Linked DNA regions of Lytechinus pictus. The main gene of each other region encodes a partner of the protein of the gene in region 2 in a complex. Links are inferred from orthologs where the notes say so. Each region holds a gene or a part of one and is shown on either strand. Other genes may lie near its edges.

Region 1 (15,694 bases), on a different chromosome or scaffold from region 2:
ATATCGAAATCTTAAGCTAAGGTTAAATGTTTGAATTACCATCATAACATTGAAGACTTATGGATCTGATTCATGAAACTTGGAAATAAGAGTTAACAAGTATCACTGAACATCCTGTGCGAGTTTCAGGTCACATGACCAAGGTCAAAGGTCATTTAAGGTCAATGAACTTTTGCCATGTTGGAGGTAATTATTAAATTGCTGTTGTAACTTTCAAAGTTTATGGATATAGTCTATGAATTGTGGACATATGGGTAACCAAGTATCACTGACAAGTCTTCGGTCACATGATCAAGGTCAAATGTCATTTAGGGTCAATGAACGTAGTATTGTATCATTATATGAATGGTGTTATTGTGAATAATTATTTTATAGTAGTTTTCAAAGTCAGCACTGCTGCTATATTGAATGGCATAATGCAGGTGAGACCGCTAGAGGCACTCCACTTGTTACTATTTCAAGCCAGTGTTTAGATTTCTTAACCCACTAACACCTGCATTCTATGTTTCCCTTTGTACAGAGACAATTGACTTCTACTCTAGGAAGATATACATAGAATGGTTGGTATCTATGTTCAGGGTGCCTTGTCATAAAGGTGTTTGTAAATTTATTCATGTCTGGTGACACTTTCTTATTCTGGATGAAGTACCTCAAATAATGCAGGCTTTTGGCTGATTCAGGTGATGACATGCCACATTGTACATGACATATGGGGTGTTCATATGTTCAGTCTTCTCTTCAGACCCAATCAGTCTACTGATGGGCATCACTAAGTCCCCCCTAAATAAACATCAATAATTTCCGAACAAATGCGAGTATTTAATATATTTTTACATGAGCGTGTAGGTAATTTTATAAGCTATCCTCTGAGTAAATGTTATGGACGTATATTACGTCATACTTCAGTGAGCACCGTCAAAAGGCAAATATGTCACTTTTCAAAAGTCACAAGCCAAATATCATTACTTTGATTCCATTTTATTGGAAGTAATTCCACATTCTCATCATGAAAAATACATGTAGTCAGAAGGCTTGTAAAAGGTACTTTCTAAAAGACGATACAACATTTTTGGCTAAATTTCACGGTTAATATAAACACAAGTCAAAATTTGCTATAATTGGATTGTTTACACATTTCTATTAATAAAAATGATAGAATATTATGACAGGTATTTTTGGGAAGAGTATCTTCAACAATATTCATCGTTTCACGGTTCCATGAACATTTTTTGAAAACATAAAACACGATTTTCAAATATCATAGGCGTGTAATGTTTCATTTTGGTAACTGAAAATGATCTTTCCTCAACTTTTTCGTTATTTTCATGACAAATTAACATCCGTCAATGATTCAAAGGCGTTTAATTAAACATTCACGCTTGAATGAACATGTGGAATGTGATTAGCTCTTTTTTACGTTATTGGAAAAAATGCAATTTGTAACTATGGATATCTTTCAAAAACCTCCTTGCATAGTTCATTTGATTTGATTTTTATGAAAATCCCGATGTTTAATACATCAGTGAGCACACAATATTCGAAAATTATGCAAATGAGAAGAAAGTTCAAGGCCTTGGCCCCACTCTGTGCCGTATTGAATGGTTATTTTGGTGTGCGCGCCTTTTGGATAGTGTTATTCTGAGGCCATGTGCGAAGTTTCATGAAATAACTGTTGGCAGAAGTAACAAAAACCGTCCATGAAACAAACCCTCATTTCATATTTGTTAAAATTTTGACTTCCTCTCTCATAGACTTGTGTACATTATGGGTGCATATGTTTAAGAATAAGTAACCCCTTATTCAATATGGTGGAACTTTTTTTCAAGGCTGTCTTTAGCAATGTCATTTGGCAGTAATGTTTATCAACCTACATGTATGGGCAGAATTCTGTGCAAAAATGAAATCGATTTGTTTAGTTATGGATGAGTGAGCACGCATCAAAGTGGGAAAATTTGTATTTTCAATGTCACAGACTCATTTTAAAGGGTAATAAAGTTAATATTGGGGGCAAATTCGGTTTCAAATGTGACTTTAATTGCTGCTGTTTTTATCATCCATCATTTCTATCACCACACACTTTCCGAACTTTAAACATTTTCATGGTTGAGCGAGCACATTCGAAAACTTAGGAATGAATACTCTTTATACTGCATAAATGTATTCTTTTCCTAACAATTTCTCATGATCAGTTTAATTTATGGACAAATCAGTGGTGGATCCAGAATTTTAAAATGGGGGAGGGCCTATAATCGGGGGAGACACCAACATTTTCAAATTTTAACATGATCTAACAAGTTGTAGAGGATACTACCATAAACCCCTATGATGATATGTCACAATACAGGGGCCGCGGAACGGTTTACAAAGTGGGGGGCTGACCATGCAAAAAATCACAATCGTATGGTCATTTTTACATTTTTGTACATGCTTTTGGAAAAAAGTGGGGGGGAGGGGGCTCAAGTCCCCCCCCCCCCCCCCCCCCGCTTCCGGGGCCCCTGCAATACATTGTGCTCACTCAACCATGAACATACGATATCAAAATTGTGTGTGGAGTGGCTAAATGATGGATAGTAAAACAGCATAACACCATAAAATTCACCTAAAAACAACTTTTGCCCAACTTTGTATTTGCACAATCTGAAAAAATACTCTTGTGACTTTCAAAAATGGTCATTTTTAAATCAATCTTTAATTAATCATGCATGGCTCAACCGATCAATCTCATTTTTCACCAGGAGTTGCTTAATGAGTGAAGAAAACCACCTACGAAATATCACATCTCAAAATATTTCCGTTCAAAAGTTACAGCAATTCGATTTAGGGGGGACTTACTTTTTTTGTGTGTATAGAATGAATAAGAATTTGAGGAAGCACTTAAGAATATCCCTAGTCATTTGTAAAGCCATACAAACAGCTCTTTGAAAGCCATTAGCCAGCAATGATTATTTCACCAGGGGTGTTCCATGAAAGCACTGACTTTGAAATCCTGTAACTGGCTGAGAATCAATGACAGCTTTACTATCCCCCCCCCCCCGCCCCTCACCCACTCCCACAAAACACAACATAGAATCATGGCCTACCTAAATTTTGGGTCATAAGGCTGAAAATGGAATGAAATCATTTCTAAGTTAGAAATATGTTATAGTGATGAATTGTTAGCACTTTATAAATCTAAAATGAATATAAAACAAAAATTTGGGCACGGAGTGGGGTCAGGAAAAATTCATGAACATTGACAAACTTAAGGTTAGTTCATTGTAAAGAGAAAATGGGTTCTTTGTGAAAGCATCATTGGTTTATCCCATAGATGTACATGGTCACATTTAATGTTTGTTTTATTACAATTTGGATTTATATAAAAGAAATAAACTATTAATTGTGGTTGTGAAATCATGATACATACATTCATATTGAACGTAAATTTGATGGCAAATTGGAAGTCAATTGTAATTAGTGAATTGTTTATTCATTGGCTATGTTGAAAGATGGATATCATTTTGAAGGAATGACAGATGTATATTTCATTAGGTTTGTCTGATGGTTTTGAGAGAACTTATACATGTTGCTGTATTGTATCAATGGTGTTTATTTGGATTGTTACATATAGGGTCCATGGTGTTAAAGGACTATGTTAGGAGAGTAAGTCATGTGTATTTCATATCAATAGTTATAACATTTCAATGCAGTTAAAGTTTCTTTCAATTTATTTATTTTCCCTTTTTCCCAGGGACATGCAAAAGAGTAACTTCTGCACAGTTCAAATAATTAGTAATTCACCTTTATCATCAATATTGAAATGGAATGTCTCCCCATAGTCCATCTATACAGATGACTGCGCCTTTATTATATTGAATGACTTTTAGAAAGTTCAAACGTTATTTCTTGTGAAAGCTAGTTATATCATTGCCTAGAGTCTATTCATACTTTTACAATGATAATAATAACAATAATTGTTTTGATATACTGTGCTTTAGTGTTTGCATGATGGATCATTTGATGAAACAGATGTTTATGAACAGAATATCAATCTTTTTAAAGATTATAATTATGTACACATTATCTCTCAACATTACATGAAATAAACATGTATTAGATGAATGTTAATATCAACAGGTTTTGTATCCGGCAGTATATTGGTGTATTGCTATATTCTACTTTTTTAAGAAGAGGGGAATAGAAATATATGAAGGGAGAGAGATTTGGGAGAGGTGGAGAACTAGAAGGGGAGGAGATTGAGAAAGAAATGGATCCGCAGATACTCTTTGCATACGCCTTAGTTTCATACGCTCTGTATCCGTCGAGCATCCGTCCACTGTGATTTCATTTTTTGCCAAATTTGTCCATTTCTGGAGCGGATGAAAGCGGATATGGGCCACCCCGAAATTTTGATTGTCCGCTGTATCCTTTATGCTTACGTTTTTACATGGATCAGAGGGGGGGTGGATATGGGAGAGAGATTGACAGAGAGAGTAGGAGGGGATCCAGGAGAGTTGTTGAGGGATACTGACACACAGGGAGAAGAGAGAAAAAACACAGGAGTTAGGGATAGAGAACAATATGATAAAGATGGTAATAGAAAGGAAAGATGATCAAATGAGGGGACGTTGACATTGGAGATGAGGGGTGGGGCTTATATTATAGTGAGATCGATAGAGAAGGGGTGAGATGTTTTCTTGGTTTTTGGGTGTGATAAACGTTATGGCAGAATGTAATCTTTAAACAACATTTTTAACAATTACATTTGTTGCAGTTGTATTCAACCCAAATGGAGAACTTCCCCAAATATTTAGAAATAATAATTTTATCTTAATTTTAGACCTACATGGTACTAGTAGTCTGTTACACTGTTGTCAGTATTTTCTTCATCAGTCTGTCGACTGTATGCGCGGATGATCAAATTATGCGGCAATGGGATCTGCACTAGATTGGCCTAGTATTCGCCTATATAGTGATGATAGATATCGAAATGGTGTTGACTACTCGGCTTTATCGAGATTTATGTCAGTCTCTGGCTGATTCCCTGTTTGGTCGCATCTCGAATGGTCTAGTCCATAGTTCGGATGCTGGGCCGGGTGAGGGTAGACCGGGAGGGTAGATTGTGAGATAGCACCATCTTTCATCACTGGGTGTCCCTGGGTGTTGACTATTAGTTCGTAGACCACATGTGTACTGGTGCAGGATAATGACAATACTGACAACATCAACATACAACCCTGAATTTCTCTTGAAAATAAGAAATTAAGGTCTGAAATTAATGTAGATTCCCTATTAATTTCTAAATATGAATTTGATGAAGTTCTCCAAACGGGCATACGTTGAATATTATAGATGTACGGTAGTAGGCCCGTGGTTGCAGGTAGTCTGCTGTGCAAACCCTTCACTCGAGTCAAGGGTCTGAATGTGCAGCCTACTCATAATGCGTTGTGCACTGAAGGCCCTCTCTAAAAACGGAAAGTTTTGTATGTACATTTTCCAATACATAAGAAAGGAAAGAAGGATGCTGTTGAAAACTACAGACCAATAAGCCTGACTTCAGTTATCGGAAAGATCATGGAATCTGTTGTGCGTGATGCCATTCTCAATCAACTTATTCAGAATGACTTATTGTGTGATGCACAACACGGATTTCTACCAGGAAGGTCTTGTGTCACACAACTGCTTGAAGTCATGGAATTGTGGACTGCCTCTCTTGATGAAGGATGTGAAGTTGATACCATCTACCTTGATTTCTGTAAAGCTTTCGATTCTGTGCCCCATGAACGACTGATGAACAAACTCAGATCCTATGGTATAACAGGTAGTCTGGGGAAATGGCTTTACAGCTTCTTGACCCATCGGAGGCAGAGAGTCGTCGTGAATGGAAAAACTTCACAGTGGTTACCTGTTAGAAGTGGAGTGCCTCAGGGTAGTGTCCTCGGACCGACAGTTTTTGTGGTATTCATCAACGATCTCCCTGAGGTAGTAAGCAGTATCGTAAAGATATACGCTGACGACATGCACCAAACTCTTCAGAGAGATCAGAATGGAAGATGACTATGACAGGCTACAAGCTGACTTAGACAACTTAGCTGAGTGGTCCAAGAAGTGGCAGCTCCAGTTTAATACAACGAAGTGCAGATCCCTCCATCTAGGTCATCAGAATACCCATCATCAGTATCATCTAGATGGAGATGTGCTGGAGGAAGTTTCAGAGGAAAAAGACTTGGGAGTCATTATGGACTCTCAACTGAAATTCCATTCCCAAGTAGCCAACGCAGTCTTGAAAGCTAATCGTGTGCTTGCTATGATTCGACGCACTTTCTTGCATAGAGACAAAGAAAACATCAAAAGGTTGTACAAGTCACTCGTGAGACCAATTCTTGAATATGCGAATGGAATATGGTACCCAAGATATGCTTCTGACTTGAAGGCTATTGAGAAAGTCCAGCGACGAGCGACCAAGCTAGTACCAGCCCTGAAAGAAATGGACTATGGCAGAAGGCTGCGTGAAATGAAATTACCCTCCATCAAGTACAGACTGCGCAGAGGAGACATGATACAAACCTATAAAATAATTTATGGCATTGATGATGTGAATAGAGACCTATTCTTCACATCAGCTACCACTCAAGCAACGCGTGGCCACCCTTACAAGCTATTTTTGAAAAGGAGTAGACTGGCAGTGAGACAAAACACCTTCAGTGTTAGAGTGGTTAATGACTGGAACTCTTTGCCTACTGAGGTAGTCACAGCATCAACAATCAATGGCTTCAAGACAAAGTTAGACAAGTTCTGGTCTGCGTGGCATTATGTTCACGCATGGGAATAGTGCCTATTTCATTCCAATACATTAATTGGCACAGCACATTGCACAAATAGCACAGACTCAGTTTTCGAACTTATCCAAGCTAGGAAGACAACAAGCTAGGAAGACAACAAGATAGGAGAACAACAAGATAGACCTGGAAACTTGACTGCAGCTAGGAACAACTGCATTTTTCCAGTAGATGCGGTATAAAGGATTTGGATAAAGGAAAATCAATTGACTGTATATATTTGGACTACAAAAAAGCATTTGATAGCGTCCCCCATCGAAGACTTCTGCTTAAGCTTCATTCATATGGAATCAGAGGTAGTGTCTTGAATTGGATCAGATCCTTCTTAAAGAACAGAGAGCAACGGGTGGTTGTTAATGGAGTTTTCTCAAATTCTGTTAGAGTCAGTAGTGGAATTCCCCAAGGGAGTGTTATCGGTCCGGAGCTATTTCTGATTTTCATAAATGATTTACCAGATGTCCTAGCTTCTCAAGCAAGTGTTATCAAGTTATTTGCTGACGATACCAAATTATTTGCTGAAGTTAACAACGATCAAGAATGGGAAATCCTTCAAGCTGATTTACTGAGGATTCAAAGTTGGGCAATCTTATGGCAACTTCCCTTCAATACAGGAAAATGTAAAGTCCTTCACTATGGCAGAAAGAACCTGCACTATGACTATAAGTTAAGTTTGGATGGCCCGACCATCGAAGTCAGCCACAGTGAAAAGGACTTGGGTGTCATTTTCGACGATCAGCTAAGTTTTTCTCAACACATAGATCAGATAGCAAAAGCAGGAAATAAGAAGATGGGGATCATCAAGAGATCTTTCTCATTCCTTGAACCTAAGAGCTTCAAACTACTTTATAAGTCCATAGTTCGACCTGCTTTGGAGTATTGTTCACAGATTTGGCATCCATACTTGAAGAAGGATCAGGAGAAACTCGAGAGAGTTCAACGAAGAGCTACAAAAGCAGTTCCAAGTTTACAGGTCAAAAGCTACCCGGAAAGATTGGCCCAATTGAAGTTACCTTCATTATCTTACCGACGTCACAGAGCAGATCTTGTCCAAGTATTCCGAATAACTCAAGGAACTGACGATCTAGAGACTTCTAAATTCTTCAAATTCAATGAAGACTCCAGAACTAGAGGACATATATATAAGATTGAGAAACCCAGAGCAAATACTCGAAAAAGACAAAATTCTTTCTCACACCGAGTAGTATCAGAGTGGAACAACCTGCCAAATCAAGTTGTGAAGAGTACTTCCATAAACTCTTTCAAATCAAACTTAGAGAAATCTTGGAACCTCAAAAAGGAAAAGTTTAACCCTGACCAATCCTTTACTTGCCCATGTTCCCATTAATAACGTTACCTGCTGAAACCACACATCGCCATATAACCTGTACCAGTTTATCTTCCACTATAATGACTTCATGAAATCAAGAAATTGGAAGGAGGAGAGGGGCAAACAAGTTTTTTAGGTAAAACTTTACGCCCACAACAAGGTATGTTACAAGGTATGTTATAGTCTTTGCGTGGAGACACACTTGTTGATCAAAGTTTCAATCATGGTAAATGGGTCTCTGTATACCATTTGTCTCTATTCAACAGATATTGAATATCAGCAATGTATACAGCTGTGGAAAGAGCAGAACAGGAGAAGTAGGTTTTAGGATCCTCTAAGGGTCTGTGCCTGAAGACTAGTATACGTGAACTAACTAGCGCCAGCGCTAGCCTTTGCACATAATTAAAGCTATAAAGACGTACCGGTATACCGTACTTCCCCGGGGGGTCGGGACAACTCGGACCACGGGACATCTCGGACCGCGGGCCGAGTTGTCCCACCGATTACGATAATTTTTTTTCACAAATTTGCGTCTATTTTTCCGTCATTTCGAAATTTCTTGTAAATCTTTTCTAGAGATATGGTCTGATGGTAATGTTCTTCACTTTCTATTACTTTTTTTTCGCTGAAATAAATAAAAAAGTGTAATTTTAGGCGTTTTTCGACAGCTCGCGATTCCCATAGGCGCGCGTGTATTAACTGTGTAGGTGCTCGGCTCGGCCCCGCTCAACAACTGACTTGATTTTGTGATCATTTCTCCTCAAGTTACCACTTTTATCGCAGAAGATGGACTTTCTTGTATTCCATTAACTCCATTTTCTCATCAAAAGGATAAAATTTGGAGTATTTGCACGATTTTCCTAAAGTTTTTCACCTTTTCTCTCTGGTCGTAAGAAGCGAACAACCGATGAACGGTCCGCTGCTCTTCATCGCAATTCTACGTAGCTCGGCCGCCTGAACTGGCGGGGTGGGATTCAGCCCGAATCCCCAATGGAAGTGGGCGTGCACTGTCAAAGAGCTGAGCTTGACTGAGTGAGAGAGTGAACTACAGCTTGAAGCTTGGCAGTGTCGTATAGCCTCTATAGGCTCTGCCTTTTTTTGTGTAGATATATATATACATTTTTATTTTTTCTATATTGATTTTCCCTGGTGTAGAGCTTTAATTAAGATTGTAATAATTTAATATGCTTTAATTTCTTTGACTGAGTGTGACTGTGGTGTGGATGTTTGAGTCGCACAAAAAATACTTTTACGTGGGTGGGGGCTCGGGGCGGTTCACTCCTGCCCCCGAAATGTGAAAAAATATTTGGGGTGTAGCTGTGTGGGCATGCTGGGCCGTGCTGAGGGTAGCCATCAATAAAAAAAATGTTTCATTGGGTCTTACTTTTTTAATGGAACTATAATTATTTTTAGGCCTATTTAATTTTTATATAAATTTCATTTTTATATTGAGTTTCCCTGGTGTAGAGAGCTGAGTTTTGGAGATGACGAGAGGGAGGAGGAGGTGAGGGATGGCGATGGTGAGAGGGATGAGGATCTTTGATGAGAGGGGTGCATGGAGATGGTGAGAGCGACGAGGATGTGAGGGATGGGGATGATCATGGGAGGAAATCCCAGGGGGGGGGGGGACGTGTCCCCCTACCAAAAATAGTAAGGGGGACACAATATCAAATGTCCACCCTACTATTTTTCTTCTTGAATAATGGAGAACAAATACATCATTCACAATCGAAATAATACATGTATTTAGGACTAAATGACCTTATATTTTTGAAAACACTTTTTTTTCTTGTCAAGTTTAGTGGTTTACGGTACAAATCTTTGTAAATTTACTAGAAAGTAGCTGTAAGTTTACGGACAAGATTTAACAGATAAAGTGCAATTTCTACGGAAACTTTGTAGAATTTACAGAAAAATCAGGTTAATGATAAATTTACTGACGTTGTCCGTAATTGTAGTGAAGATCATTATTGAAAGGAGACGTTTACGATACATCTTGTAAATTTACTGTAAAGTAGATGTAAGTTTATGGACAAGATTTAACAGATTAATTTGTAATATGTGTAAAGTGCAATTTCTTCGGAAAATTGTTTAAGGGGGGACTTACTTTTTTTGTTGTGTATAGATTGGAAAACAACACTAGGGCAACTTAGTGTTAGATACAGATTTCAGTTTTCTAGAATGGGTGATATTCTATTCAAAGAAAAACAAAAACAACATCACTCCAAAGGAACTGGAAAAATTATTTGATAAAAACAAAACCCTCTTCATAGTTGCTCTTTGCAATATCGTATTGACCACCCTTCTCCTGTTTTTAAAACCCAGACAAGCATGATTTGTTGCTACCCCCCCCCCCCCTTCCATGTACCTGTCATTTCTTTGTATTTTCCCTCGTTTTCTTTGTTTTTTCTATTGATCGATGTATCAGTGTTTAGTATTGTCTTTTTTTATACCAGTAATAGAATATAAATTTAATTGAAATGAGAGTGATGAACATAATGAGAAAGGGAGACAATGATAAGATAAGAATGGAAATAAAATATTACAATTTACAGAATATAACATATACATGTATATTTCTATTTATTCAAAGTTCACAATTCATTTTTATTCAGGTTTACATTTAAAATTTAAACAAGTTAATTAAGTGATTAAGTGATGCATTTTGGAACAATACTAAATTAAATACATTTTATATTGAATAAACAATAATTGGTAAAGATACAAAACACAAAACTTCTAACTCTATTCTTTCCTCCTGTAAAAAATTACAAACTAAATGAAATGGACATTAGTTCCAGTGGCAAATCGGGGGGGGGGGGCACATTCCGCCCCCCCCCCCCCCCTTGAGAGGTACTCAAAAGGCAACTGCTTGTCAAATTTTTCCTGGGAAAAAATTATGATTTGGTAGTGAAGACCTTTTGTCAAAAAATTCCTATACAAAATGCCCTCCGGCCCTGTAGGGAAATTTTGGATCCGCCCTTGATTATATTTCAGATGGGAATAAGACCGAGTGGCCCTAAAACTTGATTGAAAAAAATATTCACAACTGCAGGGCAAGGCTTCAGTCTCCAAGCTCACGACTGTGCAAGTACATCCACTTCCATTGGCAATTCCGGCTGAATTCCACCCTGGCAGCCTGACATCCACCCTTACCAAGAAATAAAATTAAAGAAAGTAAATCAGGGAAAAACAAGGAATGGCACAATGAATTACATCAATTTATTTTAAATCCTGTAAAAAATAAAAATAAGTAATAATTAATTTAATTAAAAATTAAGCCCCCAAATAAAACATTTTTTTACTGATGGCTACCCTCATTCCGGCATGCCCACACAGCTACACCCCAAATATTTTTTCACATTTCGGGGGCAGGAGTGAAATCGCCCCGAGCCCCCACCCACGTTAAAGTATATTTTGTGCGACTCAAACATCCATACCACAGTCACACTCAGAGTCAAAGAAATTGAAGCATATTAATTATTGCAACTTAAACTCAATATAAAAAAACAAAAATTAAATTTAAAAAAATATATAAAGGCCTAAAAGTAATCAATTTGATTAAAAAATTAAGCCCCCAAAATAATTTTTTTTTATTGATGGCTACCCTCAGCCCGGCATGCCAACACATTTACAACGCGAATATTTTTTCACATTTCGGGGGCAGGAGTGAAATCGCCCCGAGCCCCCACCCACGTAAAAGTATTTTTTGTGCGACTCAAACATCCACACCACAGTCATACTCAGTCAAAGAAATTAAAGCATATTAAATTATTACAATCTTAAAGCTCTACACCAGGGAAAATCAATATAGAAAAAATAAAAAAATATATATACATATTTACAAAAAAAAAGGCAGAGCCTATACGACACTGCCAAGCTTCAAGCTGTAGTTCACTCTCTCACTCAGTCAAGCTCAGCTCTTTGACAGTGCACGCCCACTTCCATTGGGGATTCGGGCTGAATCCCACCCCGCCAGTTCAGGCGGCCGAGCTACGTAGAATTGCGATGAAGAGCAGCGGACCGTTCATCGGTTGTTCGCTTCTTACGACCAGAGAGAAAAGGTGAAAAACTTTAGGAAAATCGTGCAAATACTCCAAATTTTATCCTTTTGATGAGAAAATGGAGTTAATGGAATACAAGAAAGTCCATCTTCTGCGATAAAAGTGGTAACTTGAGGAGAAATGATCACAAAATCAAGTCAGTTGTTGAGCGGGGCCGAGCCGAGCACCTACATAGTTAATACACGTGCGCCTATGGGAATCGCGAGCTGTCGAAAAACGCCTAAAATTACACTTTTTTATTTATTTCAGCGAAAAAAAAGTAATAGAAAGTGAAGAACATTACCATCAGACCATATCTCTAGAAAAGATTTACAAGAAATTTCGAAATGACGGGAAAATAGACGCAAATTTGTGGGAAAAAAATCACGAAACGGGTGAGACAACTCGGCCCACGGTCCGAGTTGTCCCGTGGTCCGAGTTGTCCCTGATTCGTACCCGGTACCCGGTACGTTCTTTGCATCAGCTATGGAGAAAACTAACGTTACTCGTTAGATCTGTTTTGTGGTTCCTGGAAAACTTTACTTTAGCATGAGGAAGTCAGGTCGAAGTCAGATGCTTTAAATTCAAGAGAAGCTTGTTGAAATTCATCAACATTTTTGCCCTAACAAGTTAGTCTACTCAGACGTTACGCTTGTCGTAAGTAACATATCGACTAAACTGTAAACGTTGTAGTATTTGTACGGTGCAGTGCAGTGCAGCTCCGCCGCGGCGGCCCGGCTAGCCAGGAGGCACCAGAGGCTCCTAGAGAGTTACCGGTACCTCGGGCGAAGTTCGTGCAGGCTCCACTTCACTACCGCTACCTACCCGAACTTCGGGACGGTGAACTTAGGCTTAGCCAGGCGGCTCTTGAGAGTAAAAATCATTTACTAACGTAGGCTTACTCTAAACGAAGCCAGGCAGTTCTCCCTATTCATCTGCGTGTACCGCAAAAAAACCTGAAACTTTCGCCCCAGACTCGCCAGAGATTTCTAATTTCCTTCTAAAATAGTAAAAAAAAAGATCTAGGGGCCTAGGCCCTAGCTCTAAATCATGTATAGTAGTGGATCGTATTAACGAACACTTTTCATGAATTCAATCATATCAAACACATTATTCTCATAAAATTCACCAAACTTTTAACATAAATACACAATTCCTACCGAGGCCTACAAAATATAAATATGTGAAAATTTTGCCGAAATCGTTTTTCCTTTTTACGATATTACTTAGCTCCTAATCGGACCCCTCTTCGAACGTGAAGTATTTTGGTCACTTGAAAAAGGTATCGTATTACCGAACGTGTGTTTTCAATGGGAAAAGTTGAGAAAACAACAAAAATACTTATGAGCTATTTAGAGTGATATCTCCTTGTTTTGACCATATTTTATTATTGTTAGAATATTAAGACTTTGAAAATGTGTTTTTGACCATTTTTCATCAATTTCTATTCAGGTTCTCTTTGGAAGGATGTTGCGAAATTTTGAGCGTATGAATTTATTTTCTGATGCGTGCGTTCGGTAATACAATCACTCACCAAAAGATTCGCCTGCAGCTAACCCAGGGAAAAACCCAGGGGCTTACCGTGTATTTGACCATACTCACGGGACTAGGGTGATTTATGGTCTAAATATTTCTCCAAATGAATTGTGAAAACAGAAAGTATACAATTACCACGATTATATGGATGAAGGTCTAACGAGTGGCAGTTTCCTGACATCTGGGCACAGACTGGAACCTCAAAAAAACGAAAAGTTCTCTCCTTCTACCCCCGTCTCGATCGGCCATTTTTGTTAAAATTCGTAACAAAATGGCCGATCAAGACTGGGGTAGAAGGAGAGAACTTTACCGTGTATTTGACCATACTCACAGGACTAGGGTGATTTATGGTCTAAATATTTCTCCAAATGAATTGTGAAAACAGAAAGTATACAATTACCACGATTATATGGATGAAGGTCTAACGAGTGGCAGTTTCCTGACATCTGGGCACAGACTGGAACCTCAAAAAAACGAAAAGTTCTCTCCTTCTACCCCCGTCTCGATCGGCCATTTTTTTTTAAAATCGTAACAAAATGGCCGATCGAGACTGGGGTAGAAGGAGAGAACTTTTCGTTTTTTTAACAAAGACAATAGTGGAACGTTTCTCTCGGATTATTTTCGCAAAATCGATGTCACTGGTAAAGCACGATGAGAAAAATATGAAAATACGGGGGAAACTTGCGCGATGTTTACGTCGCCCTCTTGTTTCTTTTCGTTCTTCACGTCTGTAACTGCGAAGAACAAAAAGAAACGAGATGGCAACGTAAACATCGCGCAAGTTTTCCCCGTCTTTTCATAATATTTTTCTCGTTTTTATTATGAATTATTGTTTAAAAATGAAATCAATATCGTAGAAATGAAGATGTATCCCATTTACATGATTTAGGGCTAGATCTTTTAGAAGGAAAGTAGAAATCTTGAGGGTGAAAGTTTCAGTTTTTTTTTGCGGTACACGCACATGAATGGGACGCAATCCCTTTCTCCATGGAGAGTAAGCATACGTTAGTAAATGATTTTTACTCTCTAGCAGCCTCCTGACTAGGCGCGGCGCACGCGGGACTGGCCTGGTTTGCTTCATCACAAGCACCAATGCCAACTTCAACAACCAGTATAAGCAAATAGTACCCACAAAAATAGTAGGCCTATGGTATGTTACAAAAAATAAATCTCAGAAATGGTGTTTGCTTCATAGACTAGACATAGCATCAATTATAGCTCATCAAGACCTTTCATTTAACACCTCATTCATCCCAATTGGCAATAGGCTAGGCAGTAGCCTGCCCTTATTGTAGTTTACAAATCGCCTTTTCAATTCTTATGGCTTTTATTGGTCGCATTTCTTAAGTTGGGTATGCAAGAAGGGTGGAGGATGAACAGTTTTCCGCATGGTGCCATGGATAAATTGTTGCTACATCACAGCACCTTGACCAAATTTATTGAGTAAGATATAACTTTGTAAGAATATCTCAGATTCTCATTTTGAAGCTAGTAGGGCCTAGTAGTAGTAGAACTATATGGGCTAAATATTACTCTAAATTAGATCAATACAATATCGGGAACATAAACTTTAGCACATTAAGTTTTAAATAACGGGTGTTGTGGAGTCGGTGGATGCGGTGAATGATAGAATGTTAATTAAACTTAATTAGATCTAGGTCTGACAATGTAATGTACATTAATTTGTCAGCCTCATTTTTTCTCTGCAGTCTAAAAGCATGCAACAACTTAACCCAGAGAGCTTTGGCCCGCTTCGCGGTCGCATTCGTGTCACTTGCATTTATGAGTGTTCCTAATTCTGTCTTTATTTGGGGACAAAATCAGATGCCTGTGTGGAGCATGAGATAATTTATTTGAGAGCAATCATAATTAGGCAAATAATATGAATTTTGAAACTTGGGCCTTACATTTGATTATTTTTGTGATAGTCTAAATGTTTAAATTCTCCAGAATTTAAATCCTTGAATTTTTAT
Region 2 (16,414 bases):
TTCCTATTTATACTTCTTTTTTTTTGCAGCCCTGTGATGTGTGTCAGGGAATATCTTCAAGCCCACAATATAAACATGATTCCTAAACGGACTCTAAAGCAAGCACCAATCGGATAAATTACAATTAGCCTCAAGAACATTAAATATTTTGATGCTGACTAAATCTATATTTCTCTCTGTAAAGTGAAATTATCCCTCTCTTTAAACATACCCAAGAACAACCTCATCAAATCAAGGACCATACCTGTCTAATCGTCCATGGTCTCTGTGCATACATAGTAGGATAAGGTCCTCTGGTATAGGGGTATTTGCCTGGTAAGTCATCAGGATGCTCTGCGGTGTCTTGCTGCGTGAAGAGAGGCTTCAGAGAAATACCCTGTTCACATGGAAATATGGATTCAGTATTTGAATATTTGATGACATGACGTCATTTTAATTCATCTCGGAAAATAGTCAATCAAAACGGAACTTCCAAAACTGTTATTTACGTAAATATTGATTTACTGCAGCTGCATGAATATTATACAGAATTATGCATCAATACAGAAAAAACACTGATGTTCCCAATTTCCAGAAGAGAAGCTGATAAATTAAAGACACAAATTATTTATTTTTCTGGGCCCTGTAAGGCTGTAACACAAAGCTTAGCGGTTGATCGTAGGGCGGATTTTTACACTTGAATACACTGATTATTATGTAAGATCGAACATAGAAACCAACTCTATTATCAATCGTGAAGCTTTGAGTACCAAGGTCCTGTAACACAAAGATTAGAGATTGATCGTACGATTGATTGTACATTTTAGTCAATGCAATCAATGGTAAAGATATTGTTCTACGATGATTGCTTTACTTTGTGTTACGGGCCCCAGGCCCCTGAATGGGGTTAGAGAAAATCACTGATGTTGCCAATTTGAAGAACAGGAGCTGATGAATTGTTTTTTCTGGGCCCTGTAACTCAAAGTTAAAGGTAAATGCCAGTTGTGGTAACGATCTCAAAATGACTTTTTACAAAATCCAATATAATGACCACCCAAGTGTCTGTTTGTATGAATAAAAAATATGTGCCAAAGGATCCTGGAAGAAATTGTGTAATTGCTGAGAAATAAGCAAAATAAGTGCGGATTCGGGCACTTCCGTCGGGTCTTTATTCCAGCAATAATAATATACTGTCCTACATATGCCTATCTGTGTTGGCGATCTTCAGTGTGATCGTTTTTCAGCTTAGATTTTATGATTTCACAGAGTTCAGTTTATGTAACTGTACCAGATCTAGATCCACGTTGATATAGTAATACTTAACCTTGGTTTTACAGACTTTCTCACGAAATCAGTGTTTACTGCAACTACTATCATTTAGCTTTAAGCAGTTGATCATAGGGAAGTATTTTATTCTTGATTACATTGATCATTATGTACAATTAAAATTCAACTCTTATGATGAATTGCTAAACTCTGTGTAATGGGCCCCTGAATGCGTAAGAGCTTACCTCTGGAGAATGCCATGTGAGTTTCTCCTTGGGGTCGGCTCCCCTTAACTGTTTCTCGGCAAGCTTAGTCCATTCTTCATTCAGTGGTTCTCTGTGAATACAGCTCACACATGTTACCCTTGGTATTCCAGCCTAAAATAACAGTACAAAAAAAATATATAATCAAGAGAGAGAGAAGGAAAGGAATTCCTGGTTGTAGTGGAGCTCATCATAAAGAGCTGGGTACAGCAAAAAAAAATGTTATCAAATTACTGACATAGAAATTTGGGAACCATTTCATGAAAGCTGTTTACAATGATGACCTATCAGCTCTGACAAATTTAAATTTACTGATATATTTGGTCTTAAATCAATATAATTTATAAAGCACTGATCTCTGACTCTGATTGCTACCCACGACCCCCCTCCACCCCAACCAGCAAAAAGAAAAACAAACGGGCAGACTTTTAGTCTAGAACTGTGCCTGCCAAGGTACATTTCCCTTTAAGCATCTGAGACTGACACAAAGGACACACGATCACTGTCTCAGGATGTGCCTGTTTCAAGGCATATTACACTGACACTTTTCTGCCTGAATTGACACAGCTTTGCACACAGCTTTCATATTCCTAAGCATTACCTTATGAAGAAGTTGAGCTGAATGCCATCGGGCAGTTTGAGCCAGGGCTGGTCTTAACTTCCACATTCTTGGTTACCTGTATGACAATTAAAGGAGAGTACAAATGTAGATTGGTTTTGTGACTTCAGATCAGCCCCCCCAATTTTTTTTTCACTTTCGGGGGCTATTATTTTTCCCAACTTTGGATAAGCTTTAGCATTAAATTTTCAAGCACACTTTTTAAAGAATCTTTTGAGCATTTTAGGGGCTTAAATCGCCCAAGCCCTGTGTAATTTTTCCCCTGCTTCAGATCCAACATCATAAATACTTTGCAGCTATATTTTTTTGTTCATGTTGACATCATCACTTAATTGTTGGTCTTAGTCTTTGCTGAGCAAACTTTCAAAATGCTAGAAAGATCATTGTGAAAGTCCAGCGAAGACACATAAGAGCCTTTCTGAGACCGAGAGACACCAGCATTAAGGCCGAAATAGAGCCCGTCCCATCTATTCCCAGTGTTCACTGACTGAAATTAACTTAGAGGTTATATAATATTTTTACTAGTGCATGACAAAATAATTGGTGAGCAAATTGAATAGATTAGCTGACATTTTATGCAGTTTTTACTTTTATCTTTTTACACTCTACTTTTTACCCTCATTTCAGCTCCTGAAAATGGCTAATAAATTCAAATATTACAAAATTTTATCAATTGCAAAGATTGAGGAATATCTGCAACTACTACTAGTAAACAAGGTGTGGAATTTCTGGAAAACCATTTCCCACTGACAGATGGTAAAATTGAATTGTAAAACTATCATAGTAATCATTTTGCAAATTACTAGTATAACCAAATTGTAATAAAAACCTGACTTTTCTTTGTAAAATGCTCGACCCCAAATTTGTTTTTAGTAACTGCCGATGGTCACGCTACCATCTGACTATGATGAAGGCATGAACCACTACTGTGCAATCATTGGACTAGTCAGCAAGCCAGCAAATTGAAAAAAAAAGCGGTGTTTTGATTGTCTAACATAGTGATTAGTCCACAGTATTGCACAACTGCTTTCCATGACAAAAGTCAAGATAAAAAAGATGACAGAGTTACGGACGCGAGCGTCGCGTAACGTTGGGGAAGTACAATAAGAAACAAGATGGCGGCGTAAACATCGGGCAAGTCTCTTCCGTCTTTTCATAATATTTTTTCATTTTTTTGATGAATTCTTGTTTTCAAAATAACAACGAGAGCGTAGAAATGTCGGAAATGAAGTTTTATCCCATGTACATGATTTAGAGCTAGATCTTTTAGAAGCAAAGTAGAAATCTCGGGGGCGAAAGTTTCAGGGTTTTTTGCGGTACACGCAGATGAATGGGGAGGAATGCCTGGCTTCGTATGAGAGTAACCTTACGTTAGTAAATTATTTTTACTCTCTAGAAGCCGCCTGGCTATGCGCGACCCAAAAAACATGTAAAATGGGTGTCTTTTTCAAGATAGGGCATATTACGTACGTAACGTAATAAGGGTGTCAAAAACACTAAAATAATGAAAAAAGGGTATCTATTTTCGATATGAAAGCTACGTGTTTAGGGTCAAATTTGCGAGGGTATAAAAAATCAAGACTAAAATGTTTTATAAAGGATGTACTTTTTGCCCCATGCAGTCAACACTATACGTGTTTAGAGTACGATTTGCACGCGTGGGGCTGCGGGTTGGGCTGTCAATGATGTAGGTAAAGGTAATACCGACGTCCGTGACATAACAATTGAAATATCGCTGTACTTGTTTAGGGGTTCAATTCAGGGAATACTTGCCAATAGTATTGTAACATGACCGTTTGTACACTCTAAAATCATAAACTCTTGCACTTCAGTCTCCTATGCTCTCCTGTAAATTCAATCTCCAAAGCTCTCCTTACTTTAATTAAACTAAAATTATTAAACTGAAGATAGGGTGAACGCAGAATAAATTAGAACTTAACACGATGAAGTCCAGATCAGCACTGACTTTACTTTCCAATCTAATCTTCTGGGAAGTTCTGCCATTGTACCCACATTGGATAATCATAGAAATCAACCAATCAAATACAAGGAAAATGGTATGAACTATAAAATGAACTAACCCTATTTAAAAATAAGAACCAATCAGAGAATAGAGAAGGGTGATCATGAGTTAAACTGAATCCTAATGAGAATTAAACAATAAGACCATGTAGAGTGGCAAGCTAATGGAAAACCAGGAAGCATGACTGAGGGGAAACTGAATGAAAGAATGAAATGCAATGAACCTGTGTTGCTATGTGAGATGTATTGTGGAGATGGAATGAAAGATGAGATCATGACAATGTATGTGGATTGTGGGGATGGAAAGAAGGATGAGATGAGTTGGAATGGAAATAAACAAGTTGTATGTAAACAATAAAGTATGGAAAGCCAAATGTAAGAGTACAGATTGAATACATAGACCCAGTAAAATTTACTGTTACAGTATCGTTTTGTTTCCAATACTTGTTAAGGGAGGGTTTCACATGCCAATACTTGTTAAGGGGTGCATTTTCAGATGGAAAATACGTGTTTAGGGTGCTTTTTGAGATCTCATGGTCGTGCATGGTATCCACTCGTCAATGGAAGTGGCCCCCCCCCCCGGGCCGCGTCTGTAACGTTGGGGAAGAACAATAGGAAACAAGATGGCGGCGTAAACATAGTCTCCTACGTAAGTATTTCAGCACGCCCTCTTGTGCTGAATAAAAGAAAGCTAGCCACTGAACAGTGGCAACCACAGAGCTGGTTACAATAAGCTCCTACCTGTTTCCGGTGAAGCATAATAATAGGAAGCTCCGCGATCCGGGGACTGTAGTCTTTTTCTCACCCGACACCACTAACGTACCTAAGGGGCAGGGAGGGCACACTGCACCCCCTGACGAGTCACAAATCATGCAAGGGACGTACCCCTGCCCCCCTGACGAGTCACAACTGATCCCTGTGACGAGCCACAAGTGGCCCCCTCTTTTGAACTTGAAGACCTTTTTTTTTTTTTTTTTTCCCAAATTTTTTGGCGGACGAATTTGCCCCCCCCCTTTGAAAAATCCTGGGTACGCCACTGCCTGACACTCAATATTTTGTTCACTATTTTTTTTTTACACAAGAATTATTGTTGTCACAGGCGGCGGAGGGGGGGGGGGGTATACACATTCAATACCCCTTAAATTTCAGGAGGAGGGGAGAGTTCCCCTTAAGAAATAAAGAAAAAAAAAACCAAAGAACAAAGACTGAGAAAAAAGTAAGAAATAAAAAATCAAAAGAATTAATTTACGCTCAAAAGAAAAAAGAAAGAAAGGGTAAGGGAAGAGGAAAACAGACAAATGATGCTCTGGATACAGTACTAGAAATATTATAGATAAGCCCCCCAAAATAGCCATTTGGAGTTTTTGGACTTTTTTATTCTTTAAACATGTTTATCTAGACGAAACAAAATTGCCAATCTGTAGAGGCTATCGAGACATGTTTACCAGAATGCATCACGAGTAGTGTTTCATCCATCCGGGTGGATGAACCTCTAGTCTATGGCTTCGTGATATTTTTTTCTTTTTCGATTTGTCACGATCAAACACCATTGAACGAACCAAGAGTAGTGACGGTCCGTGCTGACCGGTATGATTGCATCTTTGAAAGGGCAGGGCAAGCGCAACTAGTTGGAACTGAGCTGAAGATAGCGGTTTGTTTTTGGTGAAGATTTGTTTATATGCCATTTTGACAAGAGTTACAACAAACTTTTGTACATACCATAATTATCCTTTTTCATATTAGAAGGATACACAAGAATAATATTTCATATATGTATACATCATATTGGTAATAATATCATTATGTGAGAAGTGAGATTTTTTATTAATAGAGTCAATGGCGACAATAGTCAAATATGACTAATCGCCACTCAAACCAACATAAGAAGAAGAAGAAGAAGGTCACCGGAGGTGGAAAAATCGGTGAGTTTTTAGTCATTTTTCATATTATTTTCAGCAATTAGATCATATTTGTTATATAAATTTATGTCAATTTGTATCACACTTGATCTAGTTCGATAAGGTCATGTTTGGGTGAGGGAAGAGGAGGAAAATAGTCGATGCTTTTTTTGGCCATGCTAGTGTATACACACGAGAACGAATAACCTTGTTCGTAGGATGAGTGGGTACGTGTGAGGGAAAAGATACTGGCCCAAAATCACCAATTTTGAGGATAACCAGAGGATGGAAACGGAGTGAAATACGGGTGTAGAGTAAGATATTAATTAAGTCAATCATCTTTTTCGTTATATTTTTTTAAAAATTTTTTACGATTATCATGATTGCCATCCCACCTTTGTGACTCGGTATATCCGAAATGGTTCACGGTCCCGATGTTCGGGTAGGTGGAGCGGAGTGTAGCGGTAGTGAAGTGGAGCCTGCACGAACATCGCCCGAGGTACCCGATCCCCGGATCAATCCAGCCTGAAGTTGACTCAACATCGGTTAATGCAACAAGTAGTACCAGCAGCGAAACGGTGTAACCGTCCTACGCCAGCGGTCTCCCGTACAAAATAGGTCCTTACCCGATCAAACAGGTCAGCAGTCCCTTCGGCTTCACATCGCTTGAGAGTACCGATTGCGTCACAATCAATTTCTATAATTTCTACACAGAAAATCCCACCTCTAAGCACACATTACTCTATTCATTACATGAAATGTCTAATGAAAACACAGATCTCATTAAATTTTTGCTTAACTTACAAAATAATAGACTTATTTACCACAGTTTTTTTCTCCAAGGAAGACAAAATTAACCTTCGAGCTTGTACGGTATCTTCCAGAATAAATGTTGAGGAAAAATCTGGGAAAGGTTATTAGCAACCTTTAATCAGTTTCGTTTGCTAAATTGCTACTTGGTCTGCACCCGCTTCTTATACTTCATTACTTCACATTTTGTCTACCGGGTAATTACCGTTCAGTTCATTTACCATTTCGTCTAATTGTCGACTTGGTCTATCAACCGCTTAGTCTATATGATAAGATGAACTCAATTATGAATCAACTATTTTTGGGGGACAAAATATATAAAATGATTAGACCAGCATTTAGAAAATTAATATTACAATTTGAAAAAGTTAAGTGTCAAAGACCAAACAGCAAATATACTAAATGGATAAGCCCCGAGCCTGGACTAAGAAGTGTGTTGTAACTCCTTTGTCCTTTCAAAGTTCCTTTTGATACATTTTATTGGCGACTTTCATTAAAAGGGAAGTTCGCTCTGACGAAAACTGATAAAAATAGAACAGAAAAAAAATAATAATGAAAGATATTGGTAAAGCATTGAGAAAATCCATTAAATATTAAGAATGTTATTAGAATTTCAGGTTTTGGATTTGTGACAAGATAAACCAGCAGCTGCCCATATTTTATGTAATATAAAATACATAAATTTCAATTTTTAATGGTTCGTGATGACTTATTTATGTTTTCTTTTTTAGGAACGGATGTGAAATGATTTGTCCATTGTACTGAAGGTACAGTAAAAACCATTTTCTATGTTCTGAGAAAACGAAATTTCATTGATTTTTACAAGCTGCTCGCGAATATTATGTCACAAATCAAAAATTTAATTTTCTAACTTTTCTCAAACCTTCGGCAATATCCATTATTTTTTTTCTGCTATTTTTACAATAGACTTTTTGTTAGGGTGAACTTCTCCTTTAATGCCATCATGTTTTTAAAAAGTGTGAGCATTTGGGGGATTTGTACATCGTCTTGGAGTGGTGCAAAGTGATCATTAATACATATTCACTGAAGTGATGATCTCTTGGAACTTACTTTCTCTGAATTTTATAAATCATTGCTCATTTATAATATATGTAAGTTGTAGTTTTGTGAAAAATTGTCCTATGAAATCATTCAAAATCAATCTCAAATGCTGAAAGCTTAATCATAAGGAACTTTGCTCTCAAGAGATTACATCTTCACTTTGACCTTTGAACTTGCTCAAGGAGCATATGGGAGGGGGGGGGGCGGAGGCATGGGCACGTGCCCTATTATTGTCCATGGTCATGGGGGGGGGGGGGAAGTAACTGCCCCTCTCCTCTGCATGTTATAGATCTTGCTCCAAATTGCGCCTATATTGATGAATTCATGTTTCTCTTTGTCTTGTCTGACCCGACAAATTTTAAAGCAGCGCTGCTCATTTTTTTCATCACTTTAATTTTTTTCATTGCTTGCCACAAAATTCTTATCAATTCATTTTTTTGGTCCTCTCATTCGTCATTTCAACCTCATACATGGAATCCTAGATACACCCTTAGGCCCGTATTCTGAAGTCGGGTTTAATTTAAACTCTGGTTTCAAGTTGCGGTTTAACTATTTATGGAAAGCCAGTTGTAACATAAATCTCTAACAGTAGAGGTTCAATGTATCAGCTGATTTGACTCCCTAAACATTATCAACTGCCTGGGAGGGATAAGACAAATATCTTCACCATTAATCCGTGAAGAGCAGTTAACATGAGAAGCATTCACTGTAAAACAAAATTTTGAAACGTTTGGCTTCCCATAATTTTAGCCGAGTTAGACCATGGTCTAAGTTGAACCCGACTTCAAAATATGGGCCTTAGTGTGCTCCTCTCAAGGGAATGTGAAAATGCCCTACTAGCAAATAAATATTGGGACTAATGGCTTTCCATAGTCGAATTCAGAACATCTGTTATAGTTATGAAACCCTTAATCTCATGATCACTTTCACTCATATCAAAGGTTAGCAATGGGGACAGAAGTCAATTTTTGACAGTTCTCAGACTTTTTGGTACGAAAATAATCAGTGATACCTATTAAAACCATAAAGCCAAACTATGAATTCAATTTTAAGTTCCTATTCCATAAAAAGAAAAATAACCTTTCACTGCATCTCGAACTGGTTTCATCATTTTCTAAAATTTTTACCTTTTTTTATCAATTAAGGCTTTCTGTTTGTGAACTCTCAATATGATACTACTGCCCAGTTAAACAAACAAATAACAGAATTGCTCTTCATTGTTTTACTTTTATACTGGGTAATAATTTCATATCTACAGTTAACAGAAAAAACTAAAAATGAAAATAAAAAAAAAACCTACTAAACAATAATCATCACATGGAAACACTTTTTCAGGATTTTCATTCTTTTATTCAATTATTTTTTTAATATTATTTTTGTTTCATAAAAAAATAAACATGAACATTTAGCAAAGAGTGAGTTTATAAAAATTCACAAGGTATAAAAATCACACACGATTTGAATGCAAGGTGTTTCATTCATTTATGTCAATAATAAAGTAGGGTTATGAAAGTGCTCCAATCCTTACCAGTCAAGAGATTCAAATGAAAAGATTGTACCATTGTGTAGTACTAGAATAGGCATATCAAAACGATCTATCATTGAGATTATAAACAGGACCCAACCCCCATAACATTTTATTTTCAACAAACTGTGAAACACAAATGATTGAATCTTGTTTGTAAGAACAGAGCACATTCATACACCTTGAAGGCCTACATTCTAACAATGTGGCAAATTACTCAACAGACATGAATATAATTTGTTAATCATGAATACTTCCAGAGAGGCAGGAGAGAAAGAGGAGTCGGAACATGTGGTGGATATTCTCAAAGTGATTTCTGGAGCTTATCACAGTAGAATCCAATGACAAAATATTTTCTTCAGAATGGACAACAAAACAAAATGGAAGACCACATGAAAACTTGAATTGTTACCCAAGAGCCTTTGTGAATTGGGGATAAACTTTACACCAAGAATATCAGATAATAACCTTCCCAAATAAGACAAGGACGACATACAACTATAGAACCAGTGATCAATTGATTAGCCACTAACATCACTTCTGTCAGCAAAGCATCATGAAAGGTTACCCCTAATCAACTGAAACGGAAATGAATAGCAATGTCAAGAAAATGAAGGAATGGGTGCACTTATGACAGTATGAATGCGAAAGGGGAGGAAGGGGAAGAGATTAGGATTGAACAAAAAAATAGATTGTCCTGAGTTAAAGGGGACTACTTCTATTCAGATTCCAAGCTGGTTGAAGGATGAGCTATGATAAAGGATATACGCTGAGAGAATATTCCTGCAAACAATGTAGCCAACTAAAATGTGGATCACAATGCTTTAAAATCTTTGCTAAATATATTGAATCTAGGATCACGGAAGCCTGTCATCCTGCACACAAGAATCATCCCTGTAATGAAGAAAAAGACCATCTCAAATATCAGCAGCTTTTCAATCAACACAAAATTTGTTTAAGTTTGCATGCATGGCAGACACTAAAGCACATTAAAAAAAAGAGAATTCAAGCAACCAGGATGAGTTGTGAACAGATTTGTCCAGGGTTTCTCCATCCATTCTTCAATCAGAATTTTTCAAACTTATACCATGTTAAAGATGAAAACAGTCTCTTGACCATGGAACATACCGGTAAACACAGATGTGCTCCACTTGAGTAGTCACCAACACTCTGGCAAGATATTTGAAGACGAAACGGGCTTGACACTTAAACAGAATGGTAAAAATCAAGAAACACTACAAAGAATCAAAGGCAGACCAGGAAGAAAACCCAACAAATGACTGCAAAGCACTTCTCGATTGATCCGCAAATGGACACACAAATTTGACATGACTGCATGACACTGGTGAAGATGATGAATACTGGATCCATGGCCTTCTCTCCTTCTTGATATAGTAATTTCAGCAAATGATTCACTGAAAAAAAAATCCAACACCAAATGCAGTTTCTATTGACTTCTGAAAAAAGAAAAATAAACCCCACCAAATATCAGAGATTGAGAGACAGATAGAGAGAGAGGGAGAGGGTGAGAGAGAGAAGGGGGGGGGGGGGCATGGTGAGATTGTGAAGACAGGGGATAAGCACTCTGGAAGTATTCATATGATATGGGGTGTGTCTAGTCTTCAGAAAAAGACGTACTAAATGTAGTATGGTAGCCTTACTTCATGCATCACACATATCTTAGCTGGGAAAGGTACACATGAAGACAATGTGATAATATTAATTACTAACGGCAAGTTACGAGCTACATGTACTCTTTCTTTTTAAGGAAATGGTATAGTATCCTTTGGTGTCATAGTTTTACAAGCAAATGCTATCGATAAGTTTAAGAAACAAGGTCCATTGGCATGGCATAGTAAGATGGACTAGACCATGGACTAGACACACCCATAGTAAGGCACAATTGGTTCAATACAAAACATGTACTGAGATGTACGTCTGGACAGGCTGTATATCCAGGTATGACGTCGAAGCAGGCCACCTTTTGCTTTCGTTGGCCGAGGTCAAATGTACAAACCTACCAAAAAACGTTGATCTTCTTTAGTGACGGAACTTTTGGCCTTGACTTCATACCTGACAATACAGCTAATTTTTAGAACTTTACAAAAATGTTTAACAATGTCAATAAGGAGCTTCGGATTTCTCATTCACAATCACTATCAGCCTTACTCCTCATAAATTAGAGAGAGCGCAGCATTAAGGAAGAGGAAATTCTGCATCATGAATGAGGTTGTGAAATCTGAAGATCCTTAATATCGAGAAATGGAAATACCTGACTTTTGCAAAGGATATACTTTGTTAAATTTAGAAAAAAGGGAAGGTGGCTATCCAGACATACAATGGTTGTTCTATTATTTAACACTTGAAAATTCAATGAAATAGAATGCCAAGAAAGTGGATAATGGCACATAATAATTAAATAAGTGTTTTAAAACTAAAATACATCAGCATTGGTCAGTTTTCAGATGATTTATCATCAATTTCAGCCTGTAAACTTGTTGTTTGAAATAGAAACTTGTGAATGGAATTTCTGATAAATACTGATAAATAAAAAATAAGGGGATTCTCAAGTAATCATTGACATTGGAAAGAAACACAGAAGACTGCAGATAATTTTTATAAAGCTAAATGTATGAGATAAAATTGAAAAGAAAAACTAGAAATGTCAAAAAATAATTTTCCGATTTTCTCTATCAAATTATTTTGGTAGAGAATCAAATTGAGATATTTTTTGTTAGAAATCATTTACAATGTTGATTTTAATGTCAATACATCAGTATTGTTTGTATTATAAAAGTGATATTTCAGGCAAAATGATTGAAATAATTGCACATCAAAATTATTTCCAATGCTTATTTCCATATCAATACATCAGTATGAACATATAAATGATAAAATTAATTTTTCAGACAAAATAAGTGAAATATTCACATATGAACAGATATCAATTGCAACAACGGTTTAAAAGACTAAGAAATATATTTCACATCAATAATTGATATTTACTGATGGCTTCTCAATGCAAACTTGCTATCAAGAAAAAAAAACACAATAGCATTTGTAGAAATAAAACATGGAACACATATCTGAAGCTAAGATAAAAACAAAGTTGCATAAATATACAACAAAGTACATGTCATTTTGATTAATACATTAATATTTTACATAATAATAGACATTCTCAACCAAAGTTGATTCACAAGGAAAATGGGAATGTGAAAATAAGAAGAGCACCAATGATAATACAATGAAATACTGTTGCAAGCCTGGAAAAAATATAACACATTTAGTAAAGTGTACTTTTTCACAATAGTTTTTCATAAAGTCAATATAGAATTACTTAAAAATGGCACACACACATTCAACCATCATAAATGAAAAGACAAACAAGGTTTGGTGCAAACTTGCTAGTTTATTTGTTTGCATTATAAATCAAATCATAACAATTTGAAGTATATATTTCTTAGTAAATATAGAAGACAGCAGCAAAGGAAAAGATTAAATAAGTGGAACGCCTCTGGCAGTCTCGCCTGCATTACGCGATTCGACATAGCAGCAGTGCTGACTTTGAAAACAGCTATCATTCACAAAAGAAAACACTCATATGATAATAAAATACTACGTCCATTGACCCAACATGACCTTTGACCATGATCATGTGACCTAAGACATGTGCAAAACATACTTGGTTACCCTTATGTCTATGTTTCATGAACTACATGTGTAGATCCATAAACTTTTAAAGTTATGATGCCAATTCAACAAATACCCCCGACACGGCCAAAGTTAATTGACCTTTGATCTTGGTTATGTGACCTGAAACGCGTACAGGATATTCAGGGATACATGGTTACTCTTCAGTCCAAGTTTAATGAACTAGACCCATAAACTTTTAAAGTTATGATGGCAATTTCAAAAATACCCCCAACATTATCAGTTCTTGAACCTAAATGACCTTTGACCTTGATCATGCGATCTGAAACTTGCACAGGATCTTCAGAGATACTTAATTGCTCTCATGTCTAAGTTTCATGAACTAGATCCTTAAATTTTCAAAGTTATGATGACATTTAAAAAATCTAACCTTGGTTAAGATTTCAATGTTGACAACGCCGCTGTCGGAAAATATTTGCTCTGCTATGCAGGCGAGACAAAAATGGAATCAGAGAAAAATAATTAAAAGATACACAACAAATGAAAATAATACATAAATCAAAGGGCAAATAATGATATTTTGTATTAAAGACTATTGTCATAACTCTAGTTCATTCACAACCACTGCTCGCAAAAGAGCGTTCTAATAAACAATATAAATCAAATGCATGAAATTTGAGAACAAAATAAGGTGGAAGGAAAAAAAGAAACAGGGGAGGGGAAAAGAGCAAAGAAGAGAGAGAGAGAGAGAGCAGAAGGGGGCAGGAAAAGATGATGATAAAGATAATGATGGAGAAGAAGGATAAGGAGGTGGAGGAGAAGAACAAAGAATCAAGAAAAAAAAACAGAAGTAAATTGTGGTGGAAAAAAAGGATAAAAATAATGCAAAGAAAAAAAAACACATCACAATAATTGAGTGGAATGTTTTAACAGTGCAACCAATATTTAGTAGTGGTAAAATGGAAATAAAGAGAGCAAGAGAGTGAGATAGATAAAGATACACAGAAAGATATCAAACAGACAATTCACATCATATTAATTCAACCTTGACACTTTTCTTGAGTACTTGTTCTCTGCATCTAGTATTTCTTACAAATTTAAGTTGACCAATTTCAAGAACAGAGCTCATCAAGAAATGTATAGACCTGAAAAAATAAATATTTTCACATAAAAATAAGGTATTATCAATATAATAATTACTACATGAGCAACAACAAAAACATTATAAAGTTTGTTTCATAAGCAAAATAGTACCGAAGGCACAAATAAACATATCATTTTAAGCATAAAATGGTTCGGCAAGAATGAAAACTTTCCTCAATAAATAACCAAAGTAATAACTTCAATGAATCAATTACACAACAAATCATATAAAAAAATAAACACTTACACTGAACCTGGAATTACAATTCCTTTTCTGCCGGAAATCTGTCAAAGTTTTCCAAGGACAAGCCAAGAACCAGCCTCATTTCAATATGGTGTTGTGGCTGGAGTTGGTGTTAAAACCACATTAACACCAGATTTCAACACCATACTTGAAAATACCCAGTTTCCAATGGGAAGGTTTTCCCCTTGACATGGTGTACATGTAATGGATTTGAGACAGATGGCTGGGGTCCAGACAGGACATCAAAGGTAACTGCACTAAAGACAGACTATTTTGTGTTTCAGAATTTTACACCATTTGGATATAAATCACCCAGAGTAGAATGAGATTTATTACCAGCAGATGTTATGCACTGGAAATTGCATCATGGCAGAGTCAATATCTCACTTTTCCTGGCCTGAGAGTTGCATAAGGCATGGACCTAGTAGGTCCATGCACAAGGCTTAGCATGCTTTGCCGAAGAATTTCTTGATTGTACACAGAGTTTGCTTCCCCCCAAAGATGTCTCTATTACAGGTATTTTACTGCCTTTTACAAAGTCTGGGGTCAGCAAATAAAAATCCATTCCCCATCAAAACTGATGCCATCTGACTTTAGCAATAATAATTAAAAAAAGTGGAGGGATTTGCTGTAAAATTGGGTAAAAAAGGTAAACAAGAAAAAAGATTATACCAGATACTCTATGGATTGGATTGTCACTCAAGAATATCATGTGCCCTACATGAACATGTGCTGATTTGCTTTCCATTGATGAATAATTCAGCTATACTATCATTAATACCTTGATACTGTAACAACATTTGAAGTACTGTAATATAATGTGAACTTTATATACTTCTCCACACAAACAAACCTTCAGATAGAAAAAGGATAACAATTAGAAATTGTCTAAAATATAAGAATTCTTGAATTAGCTAAACAGCACTTTAGTACTGGTTAGCTAATTCAAGAACCCCAGAATTTATAAGAGTTTTGGCATCATGTTGCTACATTTTGGGGAAAAAATACAAAAATATCTTCCAAAATATTCCTTTATTAATTTTCAGGTAATTGAAATATTGAATATTATATCATGGCAATGCAATGCAAAAGGGATGCATGATCAAATACATACACATCAAATTACCTTCATAAGCACTTTTTCACATTTGTTTTATACATGTAGTTACTAAAATATTTAACCAGAGCAGTCTTGGTAAAAAAATAAATTACACATACAAAAAGTACAAATAACTACCCTTGAATCCAAAATATGAAGAAAAAAAATTGTGCTAAAAAACAGTAAAAGTATTCAGGAAAATATTCAAGACATTCTCTAAAATCTGAATGACTTAAATTCACATGAAAAATCAACAAAGTTACATATGCAGTCATGATTGAAAATTCATTCATATTCTAATTTTTGTAAAGGAAAAGTAGTGTCTGCACATATAATGCATATTACAGACTCTCTCTCTGTCTCTCTTTCTTTCGCAAACACACACACACATGATGGTACTCAACTTGTCAACAAACGATGACAAGTAACTATTGGCTCCTGTCACAAGAAGGAACAAGAACATTTTAAGTTATTGTTATAAAATGTTTTACATCCATAGACGCTGCTATGTATTCTAAAACTTGGTCTAATTAACATAGTCTAAATATCTTGTTTAATAAAAATAATAAATTATACATGTAGTTATCTCTTATTAAAGTAGATGTTCAATTCTTTAACAAATTTGGCACAAACACCACTAATAATCACAGAATGATGCCACCTATATTTCCTTTACCATTAAAGAAAGAACCCAAAATCAGAAGAATCATGCATCATATACATACATGTAGCACAAATACCAATATCTCTGGGCTCCCCATAATATGAACATAATTTATACTAATTTATAATTTATTTCATTTTCAGGCAAGAAAGCATGACAGCAATAG

Evidence for each region.
Region 1: the proteins of methylmalonyl-CoA mutase, mitochondrial-like (region 2) and methylmalonic aciduria type A homolog, mitochondrial-like are in contact, whole or in part, in a crystal structure (PDB 8GJU), measured with the Homo sapiens proteins. The link is inferred for Lytechinus pictus from reciprocal best matches to the Homo sapiens genes MMUT and MMAA. Residues at the interface, in NP_000246.2 of Homo sapiens: Lys496, Glu609, Arg610, Glu611, Gly612, Arg613, Arg614, Arg616, Ala635, Thr636, Ala639, Asp640, Gly642, Phe643, Asp644, Val645, Asp646, Ile647, Gly648, Pro649, Leu650, Phe651, Gln652, Glu656, Gln659, Gln660, Val662, Asp663, Ala664, Asp665; in NP_001362573.1 of Homo sapiens: Arg98, Ala99, Ala102, Glu103, Thr106, Glu109, Ser110, Thr111, His112, Ser182, Ser186, Gly187, Gly188, Ser189, Leu190, Leu191, Lys194, Thr195, Met197, Thr198, Ser201, Arg202, Met204, Tyr207, Ile208, Arg209, Pro210, Ser211, Pro212, Arg214.

Annotation. Positions count from the first base shown.
Region 1 is NW_026974141.1:16,224,080-16,239,773, forward strand, and holds the start of methylmalonic aciduria type A homolog, mitochondrial-like, read left to right. Parts: upstream 1-8,606; 5' UTR 8,607-8,733; intron 8,734-8,830; exon of another isoform or gene 8,831-8,906; intron 8,907-12,050; exon of another isoform or gene 12,051-12,733; 5' UTR 12,734-12,842; intron 12,843-15,694. UniProt on the Homo sapiens protein: GTPase, binds and hydrolyzes GTP. Involved in intracellular vitamin B12 metabolism, mediates the transport of cobalamin (Cbl) into mitochondria for the final steps of adenosylcobalamin (AdoCbl) synthesis.
Region 2 is NC_087257.1:22,373,357-22,389,770, reverse strand, and holds the start of methylmalonyl-CoA mutase, mitochondrial-like, read right to left. Parts: upstream 6,935-16,414; 5' UTR 6,443-6,934; intron 2,186-6,442; 5' UTR 2,176-2,185; coding exon 2,110-2,175; intron 1,623-2,109; coding exon 1,491-1,622; intron 377-1,490; coding exon 245-376; intron 1-244. UniProt on the Homo sapiens protein: Catalyzes the reversible isomerization of methylmalonyl-CoA (MMCoA) (generated from branched-chain amino acid metabolism and degradation of dietary odd chain fatty acids and cholesterol) to succinyl-CoA (3-carboxypropionyl-CoA), a key intermediate of the tricarboxylic acid cycle.